Linked DNA regions of Oryctolagus cuniculus. The protein of the gene in region 1 interacts with the protein of each later gene in a biochemical or structural test. Links are inferred from orthologs where the notes say so. Each region holds a gene or a part of one and is shown on either strand. Other genes may lie near its edges.

Region 1 (3,746 bases):
GGATTCCAAGAGAAGCTTACTTCTTGGGATCCGCGGACAGGTTTCCCGGCGGCATCTCCCACGCCAGTGACACGCACAGGGACGTTCCCATACTTCTTGGGATCCGCGGACAGGTTTCCCGGCGGCATCTCCCACGCCAGTGACACGCACAGGGACGTTCCCATACTTCTTGGGATCCGCGGACAGGTTTCCCGGCGGCATCTCCCACGCCAGTGACACGCACAGGGACGTTCCCATAGCCTGGCTCTCAGTGGCCCCAAACTGGAAGCAATGAATGTCACCTCGGCAGGATGAGCAGAGGACCCGAGTGGGGTCACAGGGAGCCAACTGCAAGCAGTGGCAGGTGCGGAGCAGATCCTCCACGCAGGAGGACGCTGAGCAGGACGCAGACTTCACACCGAGGGGTGGCAGGGTGTCCTGCCGGCAGTAGTCACTTGACACAACTGTTTGTTAATTGGGCAAGTCTTTATGCACTTTCTTATTTGTTCCATTATAAATGCGAGCAAGCAAGCGATTGGCTAACCAGTTTGGCTAACTTCTGGTCACATCCAATTCTGGAACCAGAGAAGACTTTTTAAAGGGCTTGTGTAAAACTCTCCCGTGCTTTGCTGCAAAGGAGAACAAGGCCAGAGATGGCCTTTGTCTTCGACAAAGTCCAGTATTGTACTCGCTCTGGTCTCCGTAGGTCAACGCACTGCCAGGCACTGTCCTGGATTCCGGAGCTCAGGACCTCACTGGTAGCACAAACTGCCCCCGTGGTCGCGTCCAAGTGACCACAGAAGGAAGCGGCCGGGAAGACCACGACGGCCGCGTGGCGACAGTGCGAAGCCTGCTAAGACGGCCCCAGCGGAATGAAAGCCCCGACGAATCCGCAACCCGGTGCCCCGCGTGCTGCGGAGCGGCCCACACCCGCGGCGAGGAGCACGCGCGCACCGCCCACGCGGTTACTTCCTGGGCCCCGCGGCCGCTCTACGACGCCGTCGCCCGGGGACGCCGGGCGTCACTCCCGCGGCTGGGTCCTCGCCACCCACGCGGGACACTGGCCTGGCCAGGGCTTTCTGGGCACTAGGAGGGGACTCCTCCGCGTCTGTGTCTACCTTTCAAAATAAAAAGAAATGTCAAAGAGAAAACAAGTTTAGACTAGAAAGAACTCATCCTAAAATAAAAAGACCCCGAGGCAAATGTTAACTTGCCAAGGTTACACCTCTAGTTGGTTTAAAAAACTTTTTTCAATTATTAACTTTCCTTACTTCCAGAAAGCACCAATTAGAAAAGGCTATGGAGAGGAGGCCCCGCCCCGGAACTCCGACGAGCTCCGCCCCTCATTTCCCTTGAGCCCAGCGCCCAGGAGAAACCGGAAGGATCCCGCGCCCACACTTACCATGGCCGCGCCTTCAGCGCGTGCAGCCTGCTGACGCCGCGGACAGAACTGGCGGAAGTGACATTATCAGCGCGCGCCTGGAGTTCGGTGGGGTCGGGTAGGGTTGCTGTGGCGGGGCCTGAGCAGCCTGCGGCTTAACTTCGCTTCCGCAGGCCCTTGATGATCTCTGCCGGCACCCAGGTACCTGGCCCTTTAACTCTCTCTCTTTTTCGAGGGCGCTGGCGGAGGCGGCCGCTGCAGCGAGGCCCAGGGGCGGTGGCGGGCGGAGACGCGGAATGGGCGCGCAGGCCCCGCGGGGACCGAGGTTCCTCTCGCTCGAGCCGCCGCCGCTCGGGCCTGTACCGGCCGTTCGGCCGCCGCTCCATCCCGGTGCGCGGCTGTGCTGTGGGTGGAAAACGGCTTCTCCCCGCACGAGGGTGGGGCAGACCCGGAGCCTGCGCCGCCTGGCTGGCACCCTCCGCCCATCCTCTCTGGCCGGTGCCCGCTGGCTTCGCTACCCGCAGGGGTCGGTTTTATTTTACAGTCGCGCGTGACACTTGCTAACGATTTGTGGAAGTCCGAGCTTTAGGCGCGGTGGACGTCCGAGGCAGACGCGCACCTCTGTCCTTAGACGGCCAGGGAGGCCCCTCGGGGAGAGGATCCCGCCTGGCTGCGTGTGCGGACGCGGGAGTAGACAGAGTTCATTGGATGACCTCAGGGGACACGCAGCCTGGTCTTGGGTTTCCGGAAGATGAAGACCTTGCACGCGAGCCTCTGTTGAAGGGAGAGTCAGTGCAGTAAGGCGCCTAACGCAGTTTCAGTATGCAGGGAGGGGAAGACGGTGAGCGCGTGGCCGGGAGTGAGAGGAGCGCTCGGAACAGGGGTCTGGAACAGCCTCGTCGCAGTTGGGTGCTGTGATCCTGCCCTCATCTCTTGCCGCAGCCGTGACAGTGACCCCGAAACTGGGCTTGCGGCCCTCGGCTTCACTGCCCCGATGTATCCCCACGCGTGCCAAGCTGGGGTGCTGGTGCTGCGCCTGCTGCCCGTGTGACCCCAAGTTGCTTGCTGCTGCGCGCTGCTCTCTCCATCCTTGTCTCTCGTTTAATTTCTCTGTTGCCAGAGCCGCTGATTCATGATTTCCTACTCACCTTGCCAGACCCAGGTTGCACGGTCCTTGCTTTGTGAAAACAGGCCCTCTCTGCGAGCACTCGCCTGTTAGTCCCGTCTTCTGTGGCGTACGTGCGTTCGTTCACCCATGAGCCACTACTAAAGGGCTCTCCAAGAAGTTCATGGAAAGCGTGTATCGTGAAAAATTATACACAGATTTCAAAATCGTTTGGACCAGACTAAACACATCTGTGATCCATTCTCTGTGTGTTCTTTGAAGTGCTGTTGTATGGGCAAGACCTGGTGCTGGGTACAGGTTACAGGCGTGCGTGCTGGTTTCTGAGATGAACTTCGCGGGTATCTGATTTTGTTACTAGTAGAGCAGTCGTTACGCAGTTGCACGTGGAACTACTTGATGCCGACAGTGTCCTCTTCGGCTGTACATCAACAGCACTTCTGTTACTACAGCAACGTCTAAAGAAAGTACAGTTTTCTTACATCTTTGGTACATTTCTTTTCAGAAGTTGAGCTTTTTGTGTGTGTCTGTTTTTCAGTGATGAGCATATAGGATAGACAGCTTTTGGGGCCCTTTGCCCTCTCAGAGTGATGATTCTTCCGTTCATCCAGCATGCATCTGAGTGCTTACTCTACCAGCACAACTTGAGGTGCACATGGGTCTTTGAACAACTTGACCCCTGAGACCTATGAGCGCTATGTTGGAATGAAAACCAATAATGGTAGCTAACATTGTTCTGTGTTTGTACTTGATGTTTTATTTTAACTCAGCCAGCCCACCCCCATGGTGCTCAGTCAGTTCTCACAGCCAGCACGTTGGAGTGAACTGTGCTGAAAAGTTTTTCACTAGTCGCTTGGTTCTTTCATCAGGAAGTAGTTTCAGGAGATGGTAGAAATGATTGAGAAAAGCCAGATATAGGCACAGTTTGTGGCTAATGTATTCTAAAGAGGTAAGATTGCTGTATTTATAAAAATATCTTATTTATCATTGTGTCTGCACAGCTTCTTTCACGCCAAACTATATTGGGTACAACTCAGTATTTATTGAGCTTTATGTCCAAGACATTACAGAGGCTATAAAATTGAGCAGCATATTTATACACCTGAACTTGGCCTTAGCACTGTGCTGTGTGTACCATGCCTCATAAATATTATGCCTTGATAGCACATTTTCCTTGGGAATTATCTAGGTGTGTTCCTCCAAAAGCTTTTTTTTTTTCATTTAAGATTTATTATATTTATTTGAAAGAATTAGAGAGAAAGA
Region 2 (3,663 bases), about 16 Mb from region 1:
TCTTAAGACTTGTAGAAAAACTAATATATTTTTTAAAATGTCTTTTAAAGAATGTATTACATAAGCCGCAGTGGACTTTATAAGCTATTAAAGTTTCAGTACTTAAAAAAATTCATTAGTATTTTTGAGCCCATTTTCTACTTTAGTATGCTTATCTCCATGCTCAAAACAAACACAAACAAAAAGGCCACCACTTTATATCACTGCAGGAAATGCCAGGCATTTTAGGGGAGGATCATACGGCAGAGTTTAAAAGCCACAGAGGAGCTAAACGTGTGCACATCGCCGAGACCCTAATTAATCAGTGACGAGAGGAGCGGAGCAGGCGGTGGAGCCCATGGGTGAATAAGAAAGTAACGAAAAGGCCTGCAGAAGATATGGCCTCGCCCTTGCTTTCAGTTGTAGCCAATTTTGGGTGAACAAAATTTATGTCCTGAATGAATGCTTTATTAGTTTTTTCCCTACTTGATCCGTCTGTCTAGACTTCAAGCTTTATTTATGAGTAAAGAAAGAGTTGGCTGAATTATGTAAAAAATTGGGGGTAGATTAACGCATAACTCATCCCTTGTTAAACATCTATCTTCACGGAAGTGCTAGGAAAGTTACAGTTAGGCCTGGCTTCGAGAAAGGAAGGCCACCCCCTCCTCTATTTTTTTTTTTTTTTAAAGGAGACTTTCCAATCCTAGTCAAATGGTGGTGCTAGTTCTTTATTTTTGAGTTACTGCATTTCCTAATTTCATGGTCATAACAGCTTCAGAGCAGCGTCTACCAAAACTGAAAATGCAGGCTCCATGCACAGAAGCTCTTTCACAGGCTTGAAAGGTTCAGGCTCCTTTCTCCTGCCCCTTTCTGTAGCATAAGAAGACAGTCTCTGAATGACATTCTTCTCAAGTAGGTACTCCTATTTCTTCTTTCTTTATATTTTTCCTTGTGCTGTAATGTGCTACTGTTTACAAGCAGGCTGGAACCCCAGAGCTTTCCTCTCATGTGAAAAGCTGTTCATTTTTCTCATACCACCCCAGAATATTTTGCAAAGTTGCTGGCAACCATTGCTGCAATGTTAAAAATATGAACTCTAAACTTGGTACAGTGGAAGTTCACTTTTGGAGTAATATTCAGCTGAGTCAGAGGGCAGCACCATTACCCTTTGCTCAGTACAGCACTGACTAGCTTCCTGCCTGCCCTAGATATCCTATATTTGTTGGATCCAGCTCTTGCTACGAGATACTGTATGGCTGAACTGTGTCGGAATTTTGAAACTTCATCTCTGGACTGATGGTGCACCAGCATGAACTCCCTACCTGTTTTCTTAATCTTTGGTGCCGTAACTTATGTGAGTCTGAACTAAGCAATCGGAATGACCCTTTACTTGTTTCCTGAAGGCAGTCAGGTTTTCTACAAAGCTCCACAATCTAGCAATAACGCGAATGAGACAGCCTGTCTTGAAATCACCCTAAAATTTTAGGAAAGGGTTGTTGTTGTTGTTGTTGTTGTTGTTGTTGAATATTGCTGTCTTGGTTTTCTTGGAGGTGAAAAGAAAACTACTGATGACTTTTGGAGTAGGATGGTGTGTAATGACCCCACCACATAGAGTGTGCTATTCAAGTAAGGATGTGGGAGTCCCGAAAGACAGGGCAGGCTACTTTCGTTTTGGTGAGAGGAATGCCATATGTTTCAGGAACCTTAGTTTAAGTTGCAAATTTCATGTTTGGTCAAGAAGGAAATCATATTTTCTTTTCACAGACATGCCCGTAGATACTAAGATGATTAAAAAATATTTTAAAAAATTCCTTAATTTGGGTTGGGCCCTCTCAGGACTTTAGATCACCACACTGATTCCTGTTCAAAGGTGCGGTTTTATGCACCTCTGAGAATAAGTTTGCCGAACAACTGTAAGCAGAAGGTTGCTGGGAGACTCCTCTGGTTTTGAATGTGATTTCTATATGTACAAATTCATGTCAAGTGATTTAGGAATTCCAGGTAGAAGCATTTAAACAGAATTAAAATGTACAGAGAGCCAGATGAGATAAAGTTGAGCGAGAATGTCTGAGATCTAGAGTTTGAGAGCCCATTTCAGTTTCACAAAATTCCTTCCTATTTCTCAAAAGCAAATGTTTGCTATGATTTTTGTTACTGTCCTGTGAAGACTGCCCACTGGGCCTGGATATGTATGGATATAGTACTGTAGAGGTTGGATACAATACTGGAGAGGTGGTTAGATTTCCGAGGAAATTAGGAATAAATATGTATGCATCAGAGATACCATGTGCAGGGAAAATTCTAGATATGAGCACACAAAGGTTATATTTGTTGGCAGGATATTTTTCTCAGTTGCAAGTACTTGTATTTTTTGTGACAGTCAAGGAAAGGGGTAAAGTTCATGTGTTTTACACTTTCAGCAAAGAGAAAGTTAAACAACTCTCTGATTTCAGTGAACTGTTTCTCATCCAGTTAAGGATTTAGAGCTAACCAGATCCTATTCCTTTCCCCAAACACTCTACACCCTGTGTGCTGTAAGTGTTACACCAGGTACCTGCTGACCATTTTTGCTTGGTTGTCCATGGGTCATCTCTGAGTATTTTTCTGTTTTCGTTTAGTGCTGTTGGTCACAGCAGCTGCTGTGTAAAGGGCCAGGTGGTTGGGCTTTAGTTTCTTTTGAATAGAGAATAGCTTGGTTCCATGGTTGCATATTAGATACAAGGCAAAATAGGCAGGACGGAGAGTGACCAGCTCTGGGGAGACCATCATGTTGTTTATAAGAACTTACAGCACACGCTTCATCCATGGCACCTGAGCTGTGGTTCTGTTCTACCACCTTTAGTAGGGCTGGGTCTCCATCACTATCCCCTAAGAAAGAATGTGAAGCCCGCCTCACCCCTGCACAGTGTCTAATAAAGTGCTCTTTTAAAAGACAAGTGCTTCACTGTTCGCTTTTGCTGCGATGATAGTGTTGGTCGTGCGTTTGCTTTCTGGGCACTGTCTCAGTAGATTTCTTCTGAATCCTTCTCGGTGGACCACAATATAGTGAAACCTTGCATGTCAGTGGATTTTCTGGATCTTACCAAGCAGTGAAAATTTTGTTTTTCTTTTTGAATGTTTGTGACTATTTTGGAGGACAAATGGGGTTGCCCTATTCATTCATTCCTCAAAATATTTTGCCGCATACTCTCACTACTTTCTAGGTGTGCAACTTATTTCACCTCTGACCTCAAATTTCTCATCTGCAAAGTACGGATACTAACAGTAGCTACTAGATATAATCATGTGGAATAAATGAGATTAAGCCACTCCTTAAAAGTCTTTTTATCTTCAAGTGTTTGAAATTCAATATGAGGAAGGCGTTTCACACCACTTCTGGTACTCAGAAAATGTTGACTGAGTACATGAATAAGAACTTAAGAACTCCAGGTCAGCACCACAAGTGCTAGGATTTTAAGTCCGTGTACCATAGTGGGTGGGAACTTGACCTGAAAAGTTAAGGGCAGTCACTCCAGCTAGCTATGCATGGCACCTGTTGAAATGCTGCTGCTTGTTAATGGGTATAGGTTGGAGGAGGAAGCCCGGAAGCCTGCGGTATGCTTCCCTTTAACACTGCTTCCCTGTGTGACTGTAAGGACCATCGCATCCCTTTGCAAGATGGGCAGCAGAGGATGTCTAGCTGAG
Region 3 (3,746 bases), on another chromosome or scaffold:
GCCAGGAAAACCGCCCCGGCTCCCGCGGCCCCCTCCCCGAAAGGCGCTTCTGCCTCGCGCCACCCGAGACCCAGACACCCGGGCGCGCGGCTCCCGCACACGCGCGGCTGGCGGTCACCTTGGGGCCCGATGAGTGTTGTGCGGACGTTTCTGTTGGTTTCATTCACACACATTCTACACCAAAAAAGACCTGGCGGTTTCTTTGCCCACCGGCCCCCGGAGAGGAGAGGTTCAGAGTTGGGGGAGAATGGCCCTCGTGGGTGCAAACCGCCCAGTGACACGCGGCTCCCTGCAGTCACAGAACCCCAGGAACGGGGCTGTTTGCTGGCAAACTTGAGCCCAGCTCCAAGGAGAGACCGAGGCCCAGGTTCCCGGACCAGGAGGCAAAGTTTCCAAGATTGAAAGGGGGGAGAGAATGAGGGTCTTTTTAGATAAGAAATCAGCGTGTCTTTTTTTTTTTCCCCTGGGATAAATACCCCTGCCTTTAAAGAAAAGAGAGAGGGGGACTATGTTTAAAAAAAAAGATGACCTCAACTCTAATTAGTGCCGTGGAGAGGGGGCCAGGGAAGCTGCCATTCTGGAGAGAAAGACGTAGTGGCAGAGCAGGAAGGGGGTGGGAACGGGGAGGGGTGGGAAGAGGCGCTGGGAGGGGAGCGCAGAGGGGCCGAGCAGTCCCCCGGGAACGCGGAGTGCGAGGCCCGGGATGTGGGGGGCAGGCGCGCAGAGGCCGCCGGGCTCCCGCCGACCGAAGCTTCCCGGCACCCCTCCCCCGGCCCGGCCCTTCCCTGCGCGCCCCCCGGCCCCGCGCGCTGCGGGGCGAGTCCTAGGAGCGCGGCCCAATGGATCGCCCCGGGCCCGCCCCTCGCGCGCTGATTGGCCGCGGCGGCGCCGGCCTCGCCTTATTAGCAAGTTCTCTGGGGAGCGGCGGCCGGAGCCGGCCTCGGCGGGTGCGCCCGGGAACTCGCCCTGCGCGGCGGCGGAGGCGGCGGGCAGCCAGGCCCAGCTCGCCGGGGCTGGCCTTCTGGGGAGGGGCGGGACGCGCGCGCGGGAGGGCTCGCCCGGCCAGGGCCCCGGGCGCTCGCAGAGGCCGGCCGCGCTCCAGCTCGCCCGAAGCCCATGCCCGGCGGCTGGCCCGTGCTGCGGCTGGAGGGGGGGCCCGGCTCTGCATGGCCCCGGCTGCTGACATGACTTCTTTGCCACTCGGTGTCAAAGTGGAGGACCCAGCCTTCGGCAAGCCGGCGGGAGCAGGCGCGGGCCAGGCCCCCAGCGCCGCTGCGGCCACGGCGGCCGCCATGGGCGCGGACGAGGAGGGGGCCAAGCCCAAAGTGTCCCCTTCGCTGCTGCCCTTCAGCGTGGAGGCGCTCATGGCCGACCACAGGAAGCCCGGGGCCAAGGAGAGCGTCCTGGCGGCCTCCGAGGGCGCGCCGGCGGCGGGAGGCTCGGCGCAACCGCTGGGCGCCCGGCCCGGGGGACTCGGCGCTCCGGACGCCCCCTCCTCGCCGCGGCCGCTGGGCCATTTCTCGGTGGGGGGACTCCTGAAGCTGCCAGAAGATGCGCTCGTCAAAGCCGAGAGCCCCGAAAAGCCCGAGAGGACCCCGTGGATGCAGAGCGCCCGCTTCTCCCCGCCCCCGGCCAGTGAGTAGCCAGCGCCCGGGCGGCTGCGGGGGTGGGGGTGGGGGAGGGGCCCAGCGGGGGTGCAGGACCCGAGGGCGCCAGGCCGCGCGCCGGCGCCTGCTCGTCTCCGGCGTCTCATACCTGCCGCCGGTACCTGGAGCCAGTGCCGCGGGGCCCCGGAGAGGGCAGGCTGGGGTTTGCGCCTCTCTGCGCCCCCACCCTGGAAGAGCGCGCGCGGCCTGGCGGAGACGCAGCTCGCCGTCCATTTCGGCGGGCCCCTCGTCTCGGCCCCGCGATGCCGCGAGGGGGGAGGTCCCTTGCCGGACCCCGGGGCGCGGACAGCCCCTCTTGCTGCCCCTTCTAAGCCCCCCCCGCCTGACCTGCATCGGAGGGGCGCGGGCATCTTTTCCGGGCGCCAAGTTTCACTTTCTCCCAGAGTCCTGGCCCCTGGCCCCTAGTGTAAAGGACCCTCGCCTAGGGGCTCCTGGCTCTTCTCAAACTCCCGCCAAGGCCGAAGCGGGGCCCGCGGTTCTTTGGGTGCAGGGGCTGACTTAGGGGGAGGGGGCGCTCCGCTTTCAGGGCAGGGGGCGGGGCGGGGAAAGCGCCCCCTCCGCTCTTCCCCGAGGTTCCCGGGCGTCTGGGACTGGGTGTCCGAACGGGCTGCAGCCGCGTGCGGGGGCCGCTTCCAGGGCCCCGCAGACTCGCGCCGAGATATTTCAGGAGTCCGGAAAATGCCCGAGTTTTCCTCGCTTCCTCCGATTATTTGGCGCCGCATAATAGCGGCCCGGATTGAATGGCGCGGCGCTGAGAACGATTTCTGTCTGGGGACTGCGTGTCTTTGAAAGGCCGGCCCCTCCCCGAGCCTCATGGCCGGAGACCGCGGCTGTAGTTTGCCCTGGACAGCACTGCTCCCCGAGGGCGGCCGCGCGGGGAGCGGGTCCAGGCGAGTCCCAGTCCCCCAGTGCCGGGAGGCGAGGGTGTTTGAACTCGAGATTTCGTTTTACCCACATCCTGGTGTGCCCGGGAGGCCGAAGGATCATCATCTTATTTGTTCTGTGTTGTGATGCTAAAAACAATGTTACATTCAAAACCCGCATGGTGAAACAGCCCGAGTCCGAATTCACTTTTCAAGAGGAAACCTGTGGCCGAGGCAAAGCGGCCTTGGGATTCAGTGAGGGCCTCAGGCCCCCAGGGTCGCCTGTCCACCTTGTCCCAGGAGTGATTTGGTCCACTCGTGTCCAGCAGCCCCGCTGAGCCGATCCAGCCCCTGGCCTGCGGCTAGGCCTCCAGCCGGGTGCTCACTCTGTCCATCCTTGAGGGTTGTTTTGAAGCCAAAAGAAAAAGACAGTTGGACACCGCTGCTCTCTGTGCACTGAGCCACAGGTCCAGCCGAAGCCATGGCCCACGCCAGCCCACGACGGACGGCGGGTGGCTGAAGCCCGAGGCCAGACGCTGGCGGTGGGAGCGGCAAGAGCCCCGTCTCCCCTCCCGATGACACTGTTTGGGAGGACTGACCACAACGGGGGCTCCGGTGATGGCCACCTTCCTGCCCCACTCCTGGGACTGCCCCAGACCCCCTGATCCTGGGAAATGAGCTGGGGCTTGGACATCGGCAGTCTCTGAGCGGCTGAGCGCGCGGGGGCGCGCACAGAGAACCCTGTGGCCAGCAAGGAAGAGCTGAACGCTGAACGTGGCCTTGGGCTCGCGCCACCGCGGTGAACTCCCTGCGCGCGGGCTCGTGGGGCAGGCCGGCCAGCCAGGGCCTACCTGAGGGGCAGCGCCACCAGCCCCAGCCGCGGTGGAGCCTAGGACGCGGGTCTAGTTCTGCCCACCTGACACTTTCGGTTTGCAAAAAGTAGACCCAAACCGCTGGCTGGCGGGGCTGCGGTGGGATTTTGAGAATATTTTCCTGGGGCTGCCCACCAAGGCTCTAGGTAAACAGCAGCAGCGGGCGGCGTCGGTGTGGCCGCTCCTGCCTTGGGGGGCGCGGACGCCGCTCCCTCTTAACCTGCTGCCTTTTGTCCCCCTTAGGGCGGCTGAGCCCCCCGGCCTGCACCCTGCGCAAGCACAAGACCAACCGCAAGCCGCGGACGCCTTTCACCACGGCGCAGCTGCTGGCGCTGGAACGCAAG

The links.
Region 2: the proteins of TBP (region 1) and ESR1 form a complex in vitro, tested with the Homo sapiens proteins (2 studies listed by BioGRID). The link is inferred for Oryctolagus cuniculus from reciprocal best matches to the Homo sapiens genes TBP and ESR1.
Region 3: the proteins of TBP (region 1) and MSX1 form a complex in vitro, tested with the Homo sapiens proteins (2 studies listed by BioGRID). The link is inferred for Oryctolagus cuniculus from reciprocal best matches to the Homo sapiens genes TBP and MSX1.

Annotation. Positions count from the first base shown.
Region 1 is NC_091436.1:55,489-59,234, reverse strand, and holds the start of TBP (TATA-box-binding protein), read left to right. Parts: upstream 1-1,350; 5' UTR 1,351-1,561; intron 1,562-3,746. UniProt on the Homo sapiens protein: The TFIID basal transcription factor complex plays a major role in the initiation of RNA polymerase II (Pol II)-dependent transcription.
Region 2 is NC_091436.1:16,248,004-16,251,666, reverse strand, and holds the start of ESR1 (estrogen receptor), read left to right. Parts: upstream 1-756; 5' UTR 757-891; exon of another isoform or gene 892-895; intron 896-1,157; exon of another isoform or gene 1,158-1,333; intron 1,334-3,663.
Region 3 is NC_091433.1:4,416,307-4,420,052, reverse strand, and holds the start of MSX1 (homeobox protein MSX-1), read left to right. Parts: upstream 1-921; 5' UTR 922-1,166; coding exon 1,167-1,635; intron 1,636-3,645; coding exon 3,646-3,746. UniProt on the Homo sapiens protein: Acts as a transcriptional repressor. Capable of transcription autoinactivation.